Coturnix japonica: one gene and its partner. The protein of the gene in region 1 binds, or shares a complex with, the protein of each later gene. Links are inferred from orthologs where the notes say so. Each region holds a gene or a part of one and is shown in the gene's direction. Other genes may lie near its edges.

What was found.
Region 2: the proteins of ZDHHC9 (region 1) and GOLGA7 are in contact, whole or in part, in a cryo-EM structure (PDB 8HF3), measured with the Homo sapiens proteins. The link is inferred for Coturnix japonica from reciprocal best matches to the Homo sapiens genes ZDHHC9 and GOLGA7. Residues at the interface, in NP_001008223.1 of Homo sapiens: Phe78, Ala81, Arg85, Ile94, Pro95, Leu98, Asp100, Glu101, Phe104, Ile105, Phe129, Gln130, Ile131, Asn132, Ile146, Pro149, Pro150, Arg182, Tyr183, Leu186, Tyr274, Lys281, Cys284, Glu285, Leu287, Cys288, Gly289, Pro290, Leu291, Pro292; in NP_001002296.1 of Homo sapiens: Lys11, Phe13, Gln15, Tyr18, Ser19, Ser20, Gly21, Thr22, Ala57, Glu58, Leu60, Ser64, Tyr65, Gly68, Cys72, Ala75, Tyr76, Thr77, Phe79, Leu80, Tyr86, Glu87, Leu90, Ile116, Arg118, Gly119, Arg121, Val122.

What each region holds. Positions count from the first base shown.
Region 1 is NC_029519.1:1,575,409-1,583,226, forward strand, and holds the start of ZDHHC9 (palmitoyltransferase ZDHHC9), read left to right. Parts: upstream 1-3,000; 5' UTR 3,001-3,109; intron 3,110-3,354; exon of another isoform or gene 3,355-3,441; intron 3,442-3,702; 5' UTR 3,703-3,802; coding exon 3,803-3,969; intron 3,970-7,818. Other genes in the region: UTP14A (U3 small nucleolar RNA-associated protein 14 homolog A), read right to left, coding at 14-425, 527-604, 694-817, 1,027-1,121, 1,204-1,323, 1,828-1,983, 2,148-2,290, 2,450-2,514 and 2 more. UniProt on the Homo sapiens protein: Palmitoyltransferase that catalyzes the addition of palmitate onto various protein substrates, such as ADRB2, GSDMD, HRAS, NRAS and CGAS. The ZDHHC9-GOLGA7 complex is a palmitoyltransferase specific for HRAS and NRAS.
Region 2 is NC_029537.1:3,951,913-3,960,271, forward strand, and holds GOLGA7 (golgin subfamily A member 7), read left to right. Parts: upstream 1-3,026; 5' UTR 3,027-3,215; coding exon 3,216-3,326; intron 3,327-3,788; coding exon 3,789-3,941; intron 3,942-4,521; coding exon 4,522-4,623; intron 4,624-5,049; coding exon 5,050-5,097; 3' UTR 5,098-5,113; intron 5,114-5,648; exon of another isoform or gene 5,649-5,651; 3' UTR 5,652-6,850; downstream 6,851-8,359. Other genes in the region: GINS4 (DNA replication complex GINS protein SLD5), read left to right, coding at 7,035-7,127, 7,318-7,404, 7,575-7,688, 8,142-8,239. UniProt on the Homo sapiens protein: May be involved in protein transport from Golgi to cell surface. The ZDHHC9-GOLGA7 complex is a palmitoyltransferase specific for HRAS and NRAS.

The sequences.
Region 1 (7,818 bases):
CCTAATGACCCACCTTGCTCTGTGACACTGCAGACACCAGGCAGGACTGTGAGCTCCTTGCTGTGCTGTTCAGGACTCCCTGCCTGCTGCCGCCATGCTTGCCGTTTCTGCTGAAAGTCTTGTAGCAGTGCTTCCTCTTCTGACAGCTCTTCCTCCTCCTCTGACATCTCCTTGCTCTCTACAGCAACTGGCACTACAGCATCTCCAAGGTCCTCTGGCATGTCAGGCTCCTGGGCTGGGTCACTGGGCTTGCCCAGCATCCAGGGATTTGCTTTGTTTGCTCCCACAGAGACAGGAGGGACGACGGCTGTAGAAGTGAGGTCCTCCTCAGGCATATCAGCTGGCTCCTCCTCAGGCAATTCCACCCGCACCTTCTGCATCAGCTCCTTGTTCCTGGCCAGCTGCTCTTGCATGGCCTTGCGAGCCTGGCATGGGATCGAGATGTTTCCAACACAGGCCAGAAAAAACATGCCCACTTACTTGCCCCGCTCTCAGCTGTCTTCCCCTTTCCCAAGCTGCACCTCACCTCCAGGTCATACTTGGCCATAATGGCCCGCGAGCGGGCCCATTTCCCCTTGTTTTGGTGTTTGAGACTCATCCGCTCCTGAGGCAGAGGCAAAGAGAAGCATCAGAAAGAACACTCTCAGGAGTAGGGACTTCCCAAACAATGAAGGAGAAGCAAGCAAGCAGCACCTCCATCCTGAGCTGATCCAGCTCTTCTAGCTTTGCCAAGGCAGCCTCAGGGTCTGACTTCTGCAGCATCTCAAAATCCTTTAAGGCCTTGCGTCTCTTGCTTTTCTTCAGCACACGATGGTACCTGCAGCACAAGAGCAGACAGTTGAGGAGTGAGACCTGGCACAGGCACCCAGCCTCTGCTTTGGCAAGGGAGCACTGTTCTGTGCATGAAGAAGCACAGCTTCCCGGCAACATTTCAACTTGTGACTCTCTGCTTCCCTCCACCCTTTAACCACTCTCTCTCAAGCATTGGGCCCCAGATCACCGAGCCCAGCAATGCTATAGCCTTACTTCTTGCTCTTGATCTTTTTCTCTCGACGAGCCTTGGCTTCATAGTAGGACTGCAGGACTCGAGCCTTCTGAAGCTCTGCTCGCCGCCGCTTGGCCTGCCAGCAAACACAGCGCAAGGGAAAGCATGAAGGAAGAAGCCTTCATAACCACAGTGCAGCAGAAGAAAGAAACACTCACCTCCTCCAAGCTCATTGCCTGCAGTGAGGCTTTCTCCTGTGGTGTCAGGAGCGGGTCTGTGATGGGCTGCTGTGTTTTGTGGAGCAGACCAAAGATCTCCTGCTCCAGGGGAGTTCGAGGCTGTTGGTGGGACAGAATAGGCAGTGAGACTAGACGAGACACAAATGACTGCAGGAAGAGACACCCACACACACCTTCCCATCCTTCCTGATGCCAGAGCACCCCCATAGGAGGGCACAAACAAGCCAAAGTCCCAGGCCCAACGGGGGACAAGGAGAAATCCTTGCACAGACAGAAGGGTGCTTGTTGAGCTGGGAGCTTGATAAAGACTGCCCTGACCTGGGAAAGCTCTCCAGGGATGAGTAACTCTCCTGAGAAGCAATGCAAACTTCAAGGGAACTTGTGTTCAACACTAGAAAAATAGCCAAAATTTATAGGTACACAGCCTTTTGTGAACCAAACCCTTCATCTCAAAGAGAAACGGCTGAGTGCTATGAGCAGGCACCTAGGTCAGGAGAGGGACTAGGAAACAACAGGCTTAGCTGATGTGCTGAGTGCTAAATAAAGGCAGGGGGGAAAACTGTGCCCAAGAGATGGCAATGATGGGCATGTGGCAGCACCCACCTTCCATGCTGAAACCACTTGCTCCAGGGGGGCAACTGCCACAATCTCCTCCTTCAGAGGGAAAACCAGCTGCTTTGCTCGGCGGTTCTGCAGTACAACTGGCTGCCACTTGCCAACATCTTTAGAGCTCTTGACATAGGCAGCCTCCCTCACTACCTGCAGATGAGAGCAAGAAAGAAAAAAAAGTGAGCAGAGAAGCTGATCTGTGGAACAAGACACGTCAGACAATAAGAGAGATGCAGATAGCACAGAGGGGCTAAAAGAGCGTCCCTTAAGGCTGGGATGCCTTCACTGTGCTGTTTGCCTGCAGCCCTGCATACCCGCTCTGCCTCCTCCTTGCTGAGCGGCAGCTCCACTGCTTTCTTCTGCTTCACTCTGCTGAACTCCTTCTTCACACCACTCAGGGCAGAGCGGCCATGGATGGGCTGCAGGAGCTCGGACAGGACAAGTTTCTCCCCGGCACCTACAAGAGACCTCGTGCATCAGCACCACCACGGTGCCACCGAGTGGGGCAGCACCATGGAGAGGCACCTTCACCCCAAAGCCCACCACAGCGTATCAGTGTTCTCCCCAGCAGATGGAGAGCATCCTCCTCCATAGGGGAAGCAGGGAGGGCCCCCACCTTTACAGCTAACGTTGAACTCGGACACCTGCGCACTGGGCTCGGAGCGCTCGGCCAGCTTCCTCCTGCCGGGACGATAAATACGACACGTTGAGTCACCGCTGGGAGCGCAGCGCCCCGCCACGTGCTGCCGCAGCAGCAGGAACTCGAAGCCCCGCACTCACCGCTTCCTCCCGGTGAGGGCACTGACCGCCTCCAGGAGCTGCTGGTGCCGCCGCTCTCCATCCTCCTGCTGCTGCCGCACCAAGCACACGGTCACCGGGGTCACCGCCTGAGCGGGTGAGGCCCGGCCCCGGCCCCACTCGCTGCTCCCACCAGACCCCGCGGATCAGCGGAGCGCCCGATGCCGGTGAGCGCAGCCCCGCCCCGCCCCGCGGATCCCGCTCACCTCCTCCTCCTCCTCCTCGCTGCCGCTCCCCGCCGCCTCGGCGCCCAGCCACTCCTCCGCCATGGCGTCGCAAAGTGCCGTAAAGCGCGCCGCTTCCGCCCCGCACGAGGAGCCGCACTTCCGCCCGCTCCGTGACGTCACGGCTGCCATGGCAGCGGGCGGAGCCGCGGCCGAACGGCGGCGTTAGGCCCACGGGGCCGCGCTGCGGGTGTGGCGGGCGAACTGCTGGCGAACTGCTGGCTGCAGCGGCTCGACGTGACGCTACGAGACAGGTTCGCCCTTTCCCTTTCCGTCCCGTTCCTCTTCGTCTCCTACCCGCCCTCCGGGGTCCCCGGCATCGCCCGGCCCCGCCCCCGCCACGTGCCGGGCCCGGCCCCCAGCCCCGCCCCCCCTTGTTCGCACCGGAGCGTCGGTAACAGCCGGAGATGGACACCGCGCCCGACCAATGGGAGAGCGAGAAGAGCAGCGGGGAGGCGGGGCGCCGAGCGGCCCTGGACCAATGGCGGGCCCGGCCGCTCCCACAGCGGCGTCGCGGGGCGTGGCGGCCCCTCCCGCGGCGCTGAGCTGCCGTCGGCCCGGTCTGGGGCTGCCGGCACCGCCCGGGGTGAGCGGGGCCGCGTCCGCTCCTCCTCCTCCTCCTCTCCCTTCCCTCGTCCCTTCCGTCCCGTCCCGTTTCCCGCGGGCCGGGGCCGCGCTCGTTGTGCCCGGGGCTTTCCCCAGCACACACCCAACCGCGGGTTGCCATAGCGACACCCCTGAGAAAGGAGGGGGATGGGGGGGTGATGTTGGCGTGACGACCCCCCCCCTCCCGTGCTGAGCCGCCCTCTCCTCTCCTCTCCTCTCCTCTCCTCTCCTCTCCTCGCAGCTCCCGACCCAGCACAGCCCGGCCCAGTCGGGCCCGACGATGCCGGGGGCGGCGGAGCGGCAGCGCCCGGCCGAGCGGCGGCCCCGTTGACGGCCCCGCCATGTCGGTGATGGTGGCGAGGAAGAAGGTGGTACGGAAATGGGAGAAGCTGCCGGGCAGGAACACCTTCTGCTGCGATGGCCGCATCATGATGGCCCGGCAGAAGGGCATCTTCTACCTGACGCTCTTCCTCATCCTTGGCACCTGTGCCCTCTTCTTCGCCTTCGAGTGAGTGCTGGGGGGGGACGAGGGGGGGGAGAGTTGGGTGGGGACCTGCTGGCAGCATGCTGCTGTGCTGGGGGGGGCCCGATGGGGCTTTGTGCCCTTCTTCCCATCACCGCGATGGCCTGTGGCCTTGGCAAAGAGGGAGGGGATGGGGCCCGGCGAGGCATCGATGCAGTCTGACAGCAGAGGGAGAGGGGTCTGCACCCATCCCACCACCCCAGAACCACTGGCAGCATGTGGTGAGGCCCTGCAGCCCTTACGGGTGGGCTCTGCCCAACGGATGGGACCTCTCCCCTTCCCAGGGCCATCTCTTGTGGGGGCAGCCTAGCTGTGTGCTGATCCCCCCAAAAAAATAGTCCGTAGCATGCGTTTGGCTGAGTGCTGCTGTTGTGTGAGGGGGCAGGACAGCTTTTTGGCCTGATCAGGAGACGTCAGCTTCTACAACAAGAGAACTTTCCTTCCTCAGTCTCCGTCAGCGTGTTTTTGTTGGTCTCAGAGCGGTGAAGTCCTGGTGTTGTGTAACACAAAAGCTCTTTAAGGCAGCAAGGTGGATGGAGGAACCTGTTTGTTCTTCTGGTTGTTCTCCCAAATCAATAGCCCAGGTGCCAGGTTGCCCCAGCCCAGAGAAATGGCCTCAGCTTCCTCTGGCCTGACATTGCCCTCTGTGTTATGGATGTGGCCTCAGAAGGGCTTTCTGGAACCCCAAGGAGACTCTCTCATGTCCCAGCCAACGGGTAGTGCCTGCTGTCAGGCTCCAGTTTGGTACCAGATTGGCTTTTCTGCTTAGTTGCTGCATGGCTTTGCAGCGAGCATCACTGTAACAGCTGTAACACAAGCTGCTGGGCTCCTGAAATGATTCCTGACTCAGTGTCATAGGTGAACAATGACACTGCTTCCTGATGATGCCCTATCCAAAAAATGGGGCTAAGACTTCCTGCCTTGCAGGAACAATTACTAAGTGTTAATACTCCTGAAGAACTTAGTGGCAGTGGTAATTGCTCCCGCTCCCTGCGGAGCCTGTCCCTAGTCTGTGCCTCTTTCTGCTTATAAAGTAGAAGTGCCCTATGTCCATAGCCCTGCACGCGCTGGTAGTGACAGCAGTGCAGCCAGGAGCAGAACGATGTGGGGTTGTGCAGGTGAGGGAGAGGCTGGAGAAACCCAAAAGATTGATGTGGTGATCTCGAAGCACGATGCCTTAAAGCGCTCTGTTTGAGCGAGATGCTTTTGTTATGAAATTGTCGGTGGCTTTTTGTATGTGGGAGAGGACTGCAATGTTGTCTTCCAAACCAGAAACATTCCACAGTGTTTCTGTTTTGCTAACCCTGCTGCGGAGGCTGACAGTCTGCTGCTGGTGCCCTGGTTACCCTTTGTGTTGTCTGTGTGCGTTAGGGTGCTCCAGCCAGAGGGCCTTGGCTTTCATCTATCTGTTCCGCTGGGTGTGTTACTCATTCCTTTCAGATTCAGATTTGGCATTTGCACAGAAATCCACCATTCCCCCCCCCCCAAGTTTGTTCTACAGTGGACCAGTTGGGGTCGGTAGGGTTCGATTGCAAAGACAAGCAGCCTGCTGGGTGGAGGAGTCCTTTCAGTCCTTGTGTGCTGACTGCAGGGTGCCTCTTTGGAGCGCTTGTTCCTTTCAGCTGAATCACTTGCGCAGTCACACCTTGGCTGAGTGAGGCTGGAGGTGCCTGCAGCCAGCCAGCACCGCAGCTCAGTGCTCACCGCCGTGCCGCGCTGGCTCCGATTACAAACGCCGTGGTGTGGATCTGTTGCCGACTGGCATCACACGTCACGAGATAAGCTGCTCGCAGAAGGAGTCCTCCCCAGCCACCAAATGACAGCCTTTCTGCTTTGGCTGCTGCTGGTGGCTTCCCACCCCCTCCACCCCCCACCCAGTCTGCCGCATCTCTGCTTCAGCAGAGCCAGTGAGCGGGTGGTCCGATGTTTTTCTTCTCTTGACCTCAAAGCTGCACATAGGAATGCTGTTAGAGGGGAGAGGAGGAGGCCCAGAGGATGGAACCGGCTGCTGTACCTGGAGATTGGCTCCTCTGTCCTGATGGAGCAGAGGCACCAGGCACCAAGCCCAAGGGCAGAGCACAGCTCCTACTGCTCCCAGGCTGAGCTGGTCCCCGTGGGGTCGATCCCTGTTGTTTCACTGGGTTTGCTCTACAGCCATAATGTGTTAGATAAAATTGTGTTTAATTGGTGTTATTTGAGGCAATTATTGGGTGTGCAAGCTGCTGTGCTCGAGTGCTTGGTGCCCAGCTGTGCCCACAGGGTTGGATGCAATGGGAAGGACGGGTGAAGCCCTACTGAAACGGCTTTGGGAAGGACAGGAAGGGATAGAATGTTCCCTCTGACTGTGCAGGTTTCTCTTTGCGGTTTGCTGGTGCCCTTGCAAGGGCTGTCCTGCAGTGACAGGCACCCACTTCTCTTTTTCTTTTGTTTTCAGCTTTCCAGCACAAGCACTCACTGTTTGTAAACGTTACAGCAAGATAGTGCCCTCCATGCCAGGCTCCTGGCTGTGGGAAGGGGCTGCTGTTTGCTTTTCTGATAACCGAGCTCGTTTATCTTTATGGTTTTTTTCCTACATTCTTAGCTATGTAGAGATTAAAACGTCTTTGTTTTTTGATAAGTTGAGGAGCCAGGGCTGACCCTTCTTGTGACTTTGCCTTCTTTTCGTAAACCCCAGAGATTCAGGTTTTTGTGCTGTTTGGAGGTGCAGCTGAGATAGCTTTCCTCTCTGCTTTTTCCCCTCTCTTCTTGTTACGTGTTGTCCAAAGCTGCACAGGAGCCGATCGGTGCTTGTTAGTGTTGTCATGCTCTCTGTACTCTGAACTTGATGGCACGCAGGGCTCGGTTCATGCTGCTTGTAAGGACATGTGTCTGTGTGGAGCTGCCCCTGTGTTTCTGCATTACCTGCCCTTTCTCTTGCACTTTGCAGGTTACTCTTCTGCTCCACCAGCATTCCCCAGGCAGACCCTGGTGCTGCCTAATTGCTGATGTGGGTTTGGGTAGATTGGGAGCACCCAGCGTGTGCTCTCAGTGTGACTCTACTCCAATACGTGGTTTTGCTGTCCCTGCTGACTGATGGGGATGGTTTCTCCCAGCAGCTCCAGCTGTGCCGCAGCATGGTGAATGACCCCCAGCCCAAAGTGCTGTGCTGCAAACACTGCTCAGGTTTTCCCCTCCCTCTAGGCTGTGCTAGATGTGCTGGCTGCAGCACGGCTTCCCAGGTAGCCTCAATGTCACCAGGATAGCAAGCCTTAAACTTGCAGCACCTCCATCTGTTGCTTCTAGCTGCTCCTCCCTCCCCTTTCTAATGGTCTCTTTGTTTCAGTCTTTCTCACCCCCCTCCCATGGCATGTTGTAATAGTGCTGTTATTGTCTGATATTAGATGACAAAATGCTCCAGAACACAGATACTGCTCTGAGAGGAGGAGCCATATCCTGACATCCCAACAGTATGTCTCTGTTGGCGCTTTGCTTTCCCAAACAAAAGATCTTTAAAATGTCTGTTACTTAGCAGTGTAAATGAATTACCAAGCTTAATCACGCTGCAAAACATGAACTGAAGAATCCCAGCACAGTGAGTACCTGGCTGCCTCCTCGTCCCTGCTGAGCCGGGACCCAGCCAGCTCTGCATGGTGCTGTTTCCCTTGCTGCAGCGGAGAGGACAGTCGTGCACTCATCTTCCATCTCCTAAAATCGCAGCCTTCTTCCCATTCCCATGCCACGTGCTGTGCTAGCAGCATGGTGCAGGCTCGGCTCTGCCTCCCCACACTGCTGCTTTCCTTGCAGAGGTGCCCAGGAGGTGGTCGGCAAGCAGCAGATCTTATCCATGCTGGTGCT
Region 2 (8,359 bases), on another chromosome or scaffold:
CATGTAAATTCATTTGGTCCTCTTGGATCCATACTGCATTAGGTGGCCTGAAAGGCTCCTTTGTTCCACAGTCCCCCAGTCCCCTCCACCGACCCAGGTGCTGCTCTGTCACAATGGGATGGAGGGGTCCCTGCATGCAGCAGCCCCTTGGATGCTCCCAGCAGCCCAGCACCAAGGGAAGGGGAACAGCAGCAACATTTGGTGTTTCTCCTAGGAAAGGTCTGCAGTCCATGGATCACAGATGGTTTGATTTACCAATAACAAACACAATCCTGTTCCTTGCTCTTGCCTTTTCTGTGTAACACTGAGTGTGGTACCCACCAGCACAGCTTCAAATTACCCTCCCCAGGCACAGGAACCTCCTCCTGCCCACGTGTGTTCAGTGTCCCATGGGAACAAGGCAGCCTGGGATGCCACATGCTGGTTTGCAGCTCCTCCTTCAGTGCCTCTCAGAAACACCAAGGTCTTGCTTAAGCCTGGAAGAACAACATTCTGCCCAAGATGAGACATTGCTTTGCTTTTCTTTAGTATTTCATGCACGCTCGCTATATAAGTTTAACACGCTTGTTCTGATTTAGAGATGGTGCATTGGAATAAGCTGTTAAAATTACGAACTTCTTACGCTTGGTGTCATAAAACACTGAAACAGTGAATGGATCTTTCAGAAAGAGGCACATTACACATTCAGTGTTGGGCACCTCAGTACAAAAAGGACATGGAGGTATTGGAGCAGGTCCAGAGAAGGGCAATGAGGCTTGTGAAGGGCTTGGAAAATTGGCCCTATGAGGAGAAGCTGAGGGAGCTGGGGCTGTGGAAAAGGAGGCTGAAGGGAAACCTGATTGCTCTCCTCCAGTAACTTAAAGTGCTTACAGTGAGAGCGGGGCTGGTCTCTTCTCACTGTTGACAGGACGAGGGGAAATGGCCTCAAGTTGCACCCAGGTAAGTTTAGGTTGGAAGTTAGGAAACACTTCTTTACAGAAAGGGAAGTTAAACACTGGAATAGGCTCCCCAGAGAGGTGGTTGAGTTGCCACCCCTGGATGTGTATAAGAGCCATTTGGATGTGGTGCTCAGAGATATGATTTAGCATAGGGTTGTTAGAGTTAAGGTACTATGGTTAGGCTGCGGTTGGACTTGATGATCTTTGAGGTCTTTCCCAACCTGAGTAATTCTATGATTACATGGTTACCATTTCCAGGTTCAGCCTCCATGTTAGGTCAGCAAACCCAGGAGGTTCCCTCTGGTTACAGCATTTGCCAGCTTTTTTCACTCCAAAAACTCAACAGTGGGTATCTGTACCTGAAGATCCAGACACCCTGAAAATAGATATTTTTTGTTTCTATAAACTCCAGTAAAATCGTAGCTGGATCAAAGTTTGCATTCATCCTTCTAGAATATTTCATATGCACATAAAACATCTGAAACAATTTTAACATCACAATCTTAACTGCTTTCACATTGCAAGCAGCTAAAGGTTAAGGAAACGCATTCCATCTGGTGCAGCATTTGAAGCAGATCATTCCTGAGAGGACTTTCAGGCAGGCAATGGGGAATGGGCTGCAGGAATGGGGGCTCAGCTCATGCCACATTTTGTCCCCACGCTGCTCCAACTGACTGGGCGCTTCCTGCACAAGGCACAGGGGTTGTTTGTTCAAGCAGACCCACTAGGTGTTTATTAGTCTTCATTATGGAGTGCTAGAGGGTTAATTAGTTCAGGCTGCTCCTATTGGAGGGGGGGGGGGGGACAGGAGGGGGGTGCACAGAGATCACAGCAGCTGATAGCCGGGTTCCTGGGACACTCAGCACTCAGATTACATTTAGATCTCTAATGTCAGATCTCTATTTGTATTTTTCTCTGTTTCCTTTTTATCTCCTCCCCGAGCAATTTAAAGGTGTCATTATCACATTTGCAAACTGCTTAGCACAAAGAAGAGCCCTCCTTTGGGCTAGAGGGGTGCCTCTTCCCTAGCTGCCACCCCTGGGCTGTGTGCTGGGGACACTGACAGCTCTGTTTACTGTCTTTTATCATCACAACATTGTTAGTTTTGTCTGGAGCGTGACACGGCGGCTGCTTATTATGCCCTGTTAAAACTAAACCCAATAAATCATTCTTGTATTTGTTTCCTCCGTGTTGATTTGTGGCGTGGTCGGCAGGGGACAACAAACGCTTCATCAATCTCAGCAAAGCATTGAACCCTACAGATCAGAGCCCACGCAGCACTCCAGCACTTGGGGCTTTGGAGGCATGGGGTGCTGGAGAATAACCCTGACCACCAGCACGATGCCTCAGCCATTAACTGCCCTTGCATTAAGGCCTGATTAACGTAGCTTTAGCTTCCCATTGACCTCAGTACATGCACATTTTGCCTGCTTTGTTCAGAACTCTGCTCCCTTTGGAATTAGTTACATTCTGTGGGATAGGGGTAACCTGCAGCCTCACAAACCTCATCCACCCATTGCTACCCAACAGCTGCAAGCCCTTGTACCAAACTCATAACAGCTACAACCCAAACTCATAACATAACACCTCCCTATGGAGGGATGAAGTTACACCAGCCAAGAGATATCCCAATGCAGAACTGCTTTGTTAGCAAAGCAAGGCTCTGCTCTTATAAGGCAGGATCCATCCAGATCCAGCAGTCACTGCTGTGCAGTGGGTGCTCGGTGTCCCAATGGACACCCAGCACCCAACCAGGGGTCACTGTATGTGTCTGAACCCAGGCTCTGGATCCCCATCCTACATCTGTACTTACAAACACCCCTCCCATTGATAACGCATTGAATCTCCCTTCCAATTCACACAGCGTTTTATACGCCCTATATATATGACTAGAGACCGCTCTCAGCGCGCATGCGCGGATAGGCGGGGCGCGGCGAGGGGGCGTATCCGGACTGTGCCATGTGATCTGCAAGCGGGGGGGAGCGGGGCTGTACCACTCTACGGACGTCAGGGGGTGTGCGTGAGGTCACGAGTGCTGTGCGTCAGCTGCGATTGGTGGGACGGGTAGCGAGTGCTCATGCGTGAGCTTGACGCTCTGTTTCGCTCCGGCGCGTGCGCATGCGCACTGTCTCTCTCTCTGGGCCTGATGGGGGCGACGGCGCATGCGCGGAATATCGCTTCCGCCTTTTCCTTGGCCCGGAGCTGACCGGACGCGTTTAGCGCGGTGTGAACGGAGCGGCGGAGCCCGGAGGAGCGGAGCGAGGCGGCCGCGGTGCCATGAGGCCGCAACAAGCGCCCGTGTCGGGCAAAGTGTTCATCCAGCGTGATTACAGCGGGGGGACCCGCTGTCAGTTCCAGAGCAAGTTCCCGGCCGAGCTGGAGAACCGGGTAAAGCGGATCCCGTGCTTTATATTTACCCCCCCGCCATTGTATTGCTTTACAGACCCCCCCCATGGACAGTGCTGCATGAAGCACTAAGGAATTACTGCTTGTCTCTCATGCTCTAGCAGCCCGTTGTGTGTTAAGGAAGCTGCTTTTGTTTGTTGGTGGAATTACAGTTCCTTTAAATGCTTTGTGTTCAGGTTGTGTTGCAATTCAGGCTTGATATAACAACAATGATACAATTACAATTCAGGCTTGATATAACAACATCACAACAAAGAGTTTCAGGCCTGTAACTCACAGCACCCTCCACACTTTGAGCACACCTAAGTGGAAGATGGCAGTAGGTGATATTACTATGGGGAGGGGGGAAAAAAGACAAAGTGGGAATAAAAACAAGCAAGGGCTGTTATTAGAAGGTACTGCTGAGTTCTGAGCTGTGCTGGTTAAACCTGATTTCTCTTTCAGATCGATAGGCAGCAGTTTGAAGAGACTGTCCGGACACTGAATAACCTTTATGCTGAAGCTGAGAAGCTTGGGGGCCAGTCATACCTTGAGGGGTGTCTGGCCTGTCTGACTGCCTATACTATCTTCTTGTGCATGGAAACACATTATGAAAAGGTAGGTTTCTTTTGTTTTCCTTCTTTCTTAGAAAGTGGTATATCCTACAGACTTCAGATGCTTTATTTCCTGGTGGGTTTTCTGTGACTTGTACCTCAGTTGTATGAATTCCATATAGACTCTGGATCTTACTACGGGGTGACTTAACATCTACAGACAAGTCCGTCTGATATATGAGTTACCTGAGCAGTGTAACATTTTCTGTACAGAACAGTTTCTGTCTCTGGTGGGTATCGGTGCTCTCATGCTGGGTTCTCCTAATATTGTTATATCGGTGGTATTGCTGAGCTATGGCTCTAAGACGGGAAAACTTAATTAAGAAATCTAGTTTCATAAATCACAGAATCACAGAATGACCTGGGTTGGAAAGGACCTCAAGGATCATGTAGTTCCAACCCCCCTGCCTAGCAGGGCCACCAAACATACGCCTTTACTAGATCAGGTTGCCCAGGGCCCTGTCCAACCTGGTCATGAACACCTCCAAGGATGGGGCATCCACAGCCTCCCTGGGCAGCCTGTTCCAGGGCCTAACCACTCTCCTAGTGAATAAACTGTGACTTCCCTGCTGTTCTATTATCAGGTTCTAAAGAAAATTGCCAAGTTCATTCAGGAACAGAACGAGAAGATCTATGCTCCTCAGGGCCTCCTTCTGACCGATCCCATTGAAAGAGGACTAAGAGTTGTATCCTTGTGTGGTTTCTAAGATTATTTCTTAATTCTTTAATAATATGGTATCCTCTAGTCATGCTTGATCTGTGATACTGCGAAATACATGATCAGTCTTGTTACTCTCAGGTATGTGCTGTTCTTTGAGCAGATAAGTTTATTTCTGCCCTGTTGTGGAGCTTTTGCTGAGATTTAGGAGGAGATGGCAAGGTTCACAAGCTCTTTGTATGCAGCATCTTGTGTTCTTGTTGTCAGAACAATCCTGAGCTGCCATAGGTCGATCTGATCTGACAAGGCAGGTGAGCTGTTGTGTTTGTTTTGTAGCTCTTGAGTAAGCAGCTATGAAGCAGAAAGATCAAAAGTTCTAATATCATAATGATTTTTTCACTTTCATTTTTGTAAACTTCTTATAGTATATTTTCCTAACAGCCTTTCTACACAGATTGAAATTACCATTTATGAAGACAGAGGCATGAGCAGTGGAAGATAAAACTGTGGAGTCTCAGGTACATATCAGCATTACAGTAGATGCCAATCTCAGCTTCCTTTATGGTGCTCAGAGTGGTAGACTCTTCTGCTGAAACAGAATGTTTATCCAGCTACTGCATGTCATCAATGACTTTTTACTTAAGTCTTGTGTGGTGTAGGTTTTCTGAATGTGTGGTTAATTTCATGCTACTCTCAGTTCAAACAATAACAGATTTGACTTAAACAGTCAAGATTGGAATTTGGTAAAATATACATAAACTGAACTTGCACTGTATCAAGCCCAGAATGGCTTTCTGTATTTGAAGAGTCTTGATTTTTCACAAAGCTTTTCTGGCATAAGTCTCTACCCTTTCTGAGAAGTAATACTTCCTAATTGATGGTGCTTTACTGTTCTTCCTATTATGCTGTGAAAGATGCAGCTTTTCTTGAATGTTTTTAGAGGTACCTAAAAGCTTTTGTGTTTAAAGCATCTATGAAAAGGTCATAACCCATGTTAAGAATCACCTTGTATTTTGCCTGGCAATCAGTTCTAACATGTAACTTCTTTTCTAGCAGACAGCTCAACAGTGGACTTGCTGTATCAGTTCCCCTACCTCCTACTTTAGAGCATCATTCCTCTTTCTGCTGCCAGATCCACAGTGCCATTTTCTACAGGGACTGACTTCCTAAAACTACTCCACGTGGTGTGACCCAGCTGGTCAGCATTCATTTTGTGGCGAATTATTGAGCCTTGAGATCACTTTTAAGTTCCTAAAGGAAACGCAGAAGTGGTGAAGCTGCATATTCTTCTGACAGAACCGCATTAACCCAACAGAAGTTGGCTCTAGTCATGTAAATGTGGTGCCGTTCCTCCCCACTTCTTAAATCTTTCTGATTGGGCTTTGGAAACCTACAAGTCAGAGTGGAATTTTCCAGAAGAAAGGCTTTCCCTCGAGGTCAGTATTGCAGTGAGGGGATACGCAGTGCCTCTTCCCAGTGCAAAATGACTCAAGGCAATGAGCGTTGGAAGCGTCCTGTACTGATTCTTATGGAAAAACTAGAAGGCAAAAAATGTTTCTCGTTTTAATGTTTTGGTTATTCCTAGAAGAGAGGGACTTTATTCCTGGTGTTTTTTCTACTGCTGTGTATGTGCTGTTGTATGTCAGTGCTGAGCAGAAGAGGGAGAGTCTATAAAACAGGAAGTACAATAAAATGGATGCTGAACCAATAAACATAACTCTTCCCCTTCTCTGATTAATACGTGAAGTGTAAAACTGTTTCTTTATGAATTTATTATAACTTATAGGAAAACACTGATTCGACAGAGCTGTTGTGTGGGATGGTCTCATCACTCTTTGCCTGCTGGCGCACTATTGAGCTGTGTGTTATTTCCTCTCTTTTTGCATTGACATTCCTCAGCAATACCTAAAGCACGTTCCTAGGAACCAGGTTTGGGTTCATTCTTTTCTCTTTGCTCTTCTCAAGGAAAAATATGTTCAGAATTGAGCCATGATCCAATTATAGAAGGAATTCAAGAGCTTAGGAATAATATAGGAGAGATGGAGTGTTTTGGCTTTTGGTGGTGCTGTAGGTGCTACTGCGTCTGAAATTCCAGCCTTGTTCCTCAGCCAGTAACTTCTGTTTTGTGGGGTTTTTTGTTTTAATTTAATATTCTAACTGTATAAAACTTGTTTTCTAAGCTGTGGTTGCCTTTCATGTTTGTTGCGATACTGGCAGAAGTACTAATGGATCAGTAAATTTTTTCTTAAACCGTGTCTGTGGCCTGTTCAGTCGCGCTGTTTTGAGGTGTTTTGATGCTAAAAGCACATCCACAAGGCCTAGCAGGGCCGCACTGCTGCACCCCCTACGGCCGCCATTTTGTCATGGCTTGCGCCTGCGCTAGTGCAGAACATCCGGGTCGCGCTGTGCGCCTGCGCAGTGGAGCGGCGGCTTGTTGTAATGGCGGCGGCGGGCGGTGAGGAGCCGGACTCGGACGATGGCAGCGAGGAGCTGGTTCTTACCCCACTGCAGCTCATCCGCAGCCTGGAGCAGGTAGAGCGGGACAGGGATGAGCCCCGAGGGGACTTTTAGACCATCGGCAGCTGGAGCTGTCCGAGGAAGGAGCGGGGAGGATGACGGTCAGGCCTGTGGGCCCGCTGGGCGGGAAGGGGCGATGTGGGGACGGGGTCCCGGTGGTCGGTAGGAACTGTGTGGGCCTTTATCACATCGTGCTTCCTCCTAGGCCTGGATGAACGAGAAGTTTGCCCCCGAGCTGCTGGAGAGCAAACCGGAGATCATTGAGTGCGTGGTGGAGCAGCTGGACCACATGGTGTGTGCTATGGAGGGGGTGCTCTTCTGACTATTTACAATGCTTGTTTGCTGAGCATAGCGTTGGGAAATTCACTTTTTATTTCCCTTGTGAGCTAATCGGGCTTCTTGCTCTCTATTTTTATTGTTTGCTGTTTCAGCCTTTTCAGTTTTCTTTGCCTTTCTTTGCAGGAGGCAAACTTAAAACGGGCAAAGAAAGGAGACCTGAAGGTCAGCATCCACCGCATGGAGATTGAAAGGATCCGTTATGTGCTCAGTAGTTACTTGAGGTGTCGACTTGTGAAGGTAAATACTGTACAGAGCATAGGGAAGCTTTACTTCAGGAGTGATTCCTGTTTTATTATCTACTGCTTTAGCAAGGCACTTTGTTAAAGATCCCCTATCTCACTATCTACAGTGCAACCAAAAGGATTTCATCCCCTGGGCGTGCTTTTCTGTTGTGGAGAATCACAGTATTGCTGTGATGTTCTGTTATAATGGCACGTTTTTTTTTATCTAAGCCAAGGTGCATGATCCTCCTGGGTCCTGTCACATGCACCCATGCAGCTTTAAGACCCCATCTGACTGTATTGTTACTAAGTCAGAAGCAGGTAATTTGGGTAGGCTTGTGTTTACTGCATACACCTGTTCAGGAGAGGATCACTTGTAAGGGTAGTCTCTGGGGGATTTTAGGTACTGAACTACTGGAAAGTTGGGTTTTAATCTTTTTTTTTAATCTCATTTTTCTTCCAATGACAGATAGAGAAGTTTTTCCCACATGTGCTGGAGAAGGAGAAATCTCGAGCCAGAGGGGAGCCTTCCATTCTATCACCAGAGGAGTTTGCCTTTGCTAAGGAGTGAGTGGGCTTTCAGTGCATCTCCCTCCCTTTGCATGGGGTACAGAACTGAACAGCTCTTAAGCGTTAGACAAAGTTGCAGTAAGATTCAGGTGTTCAACGTTCCTTATGGACATGGAG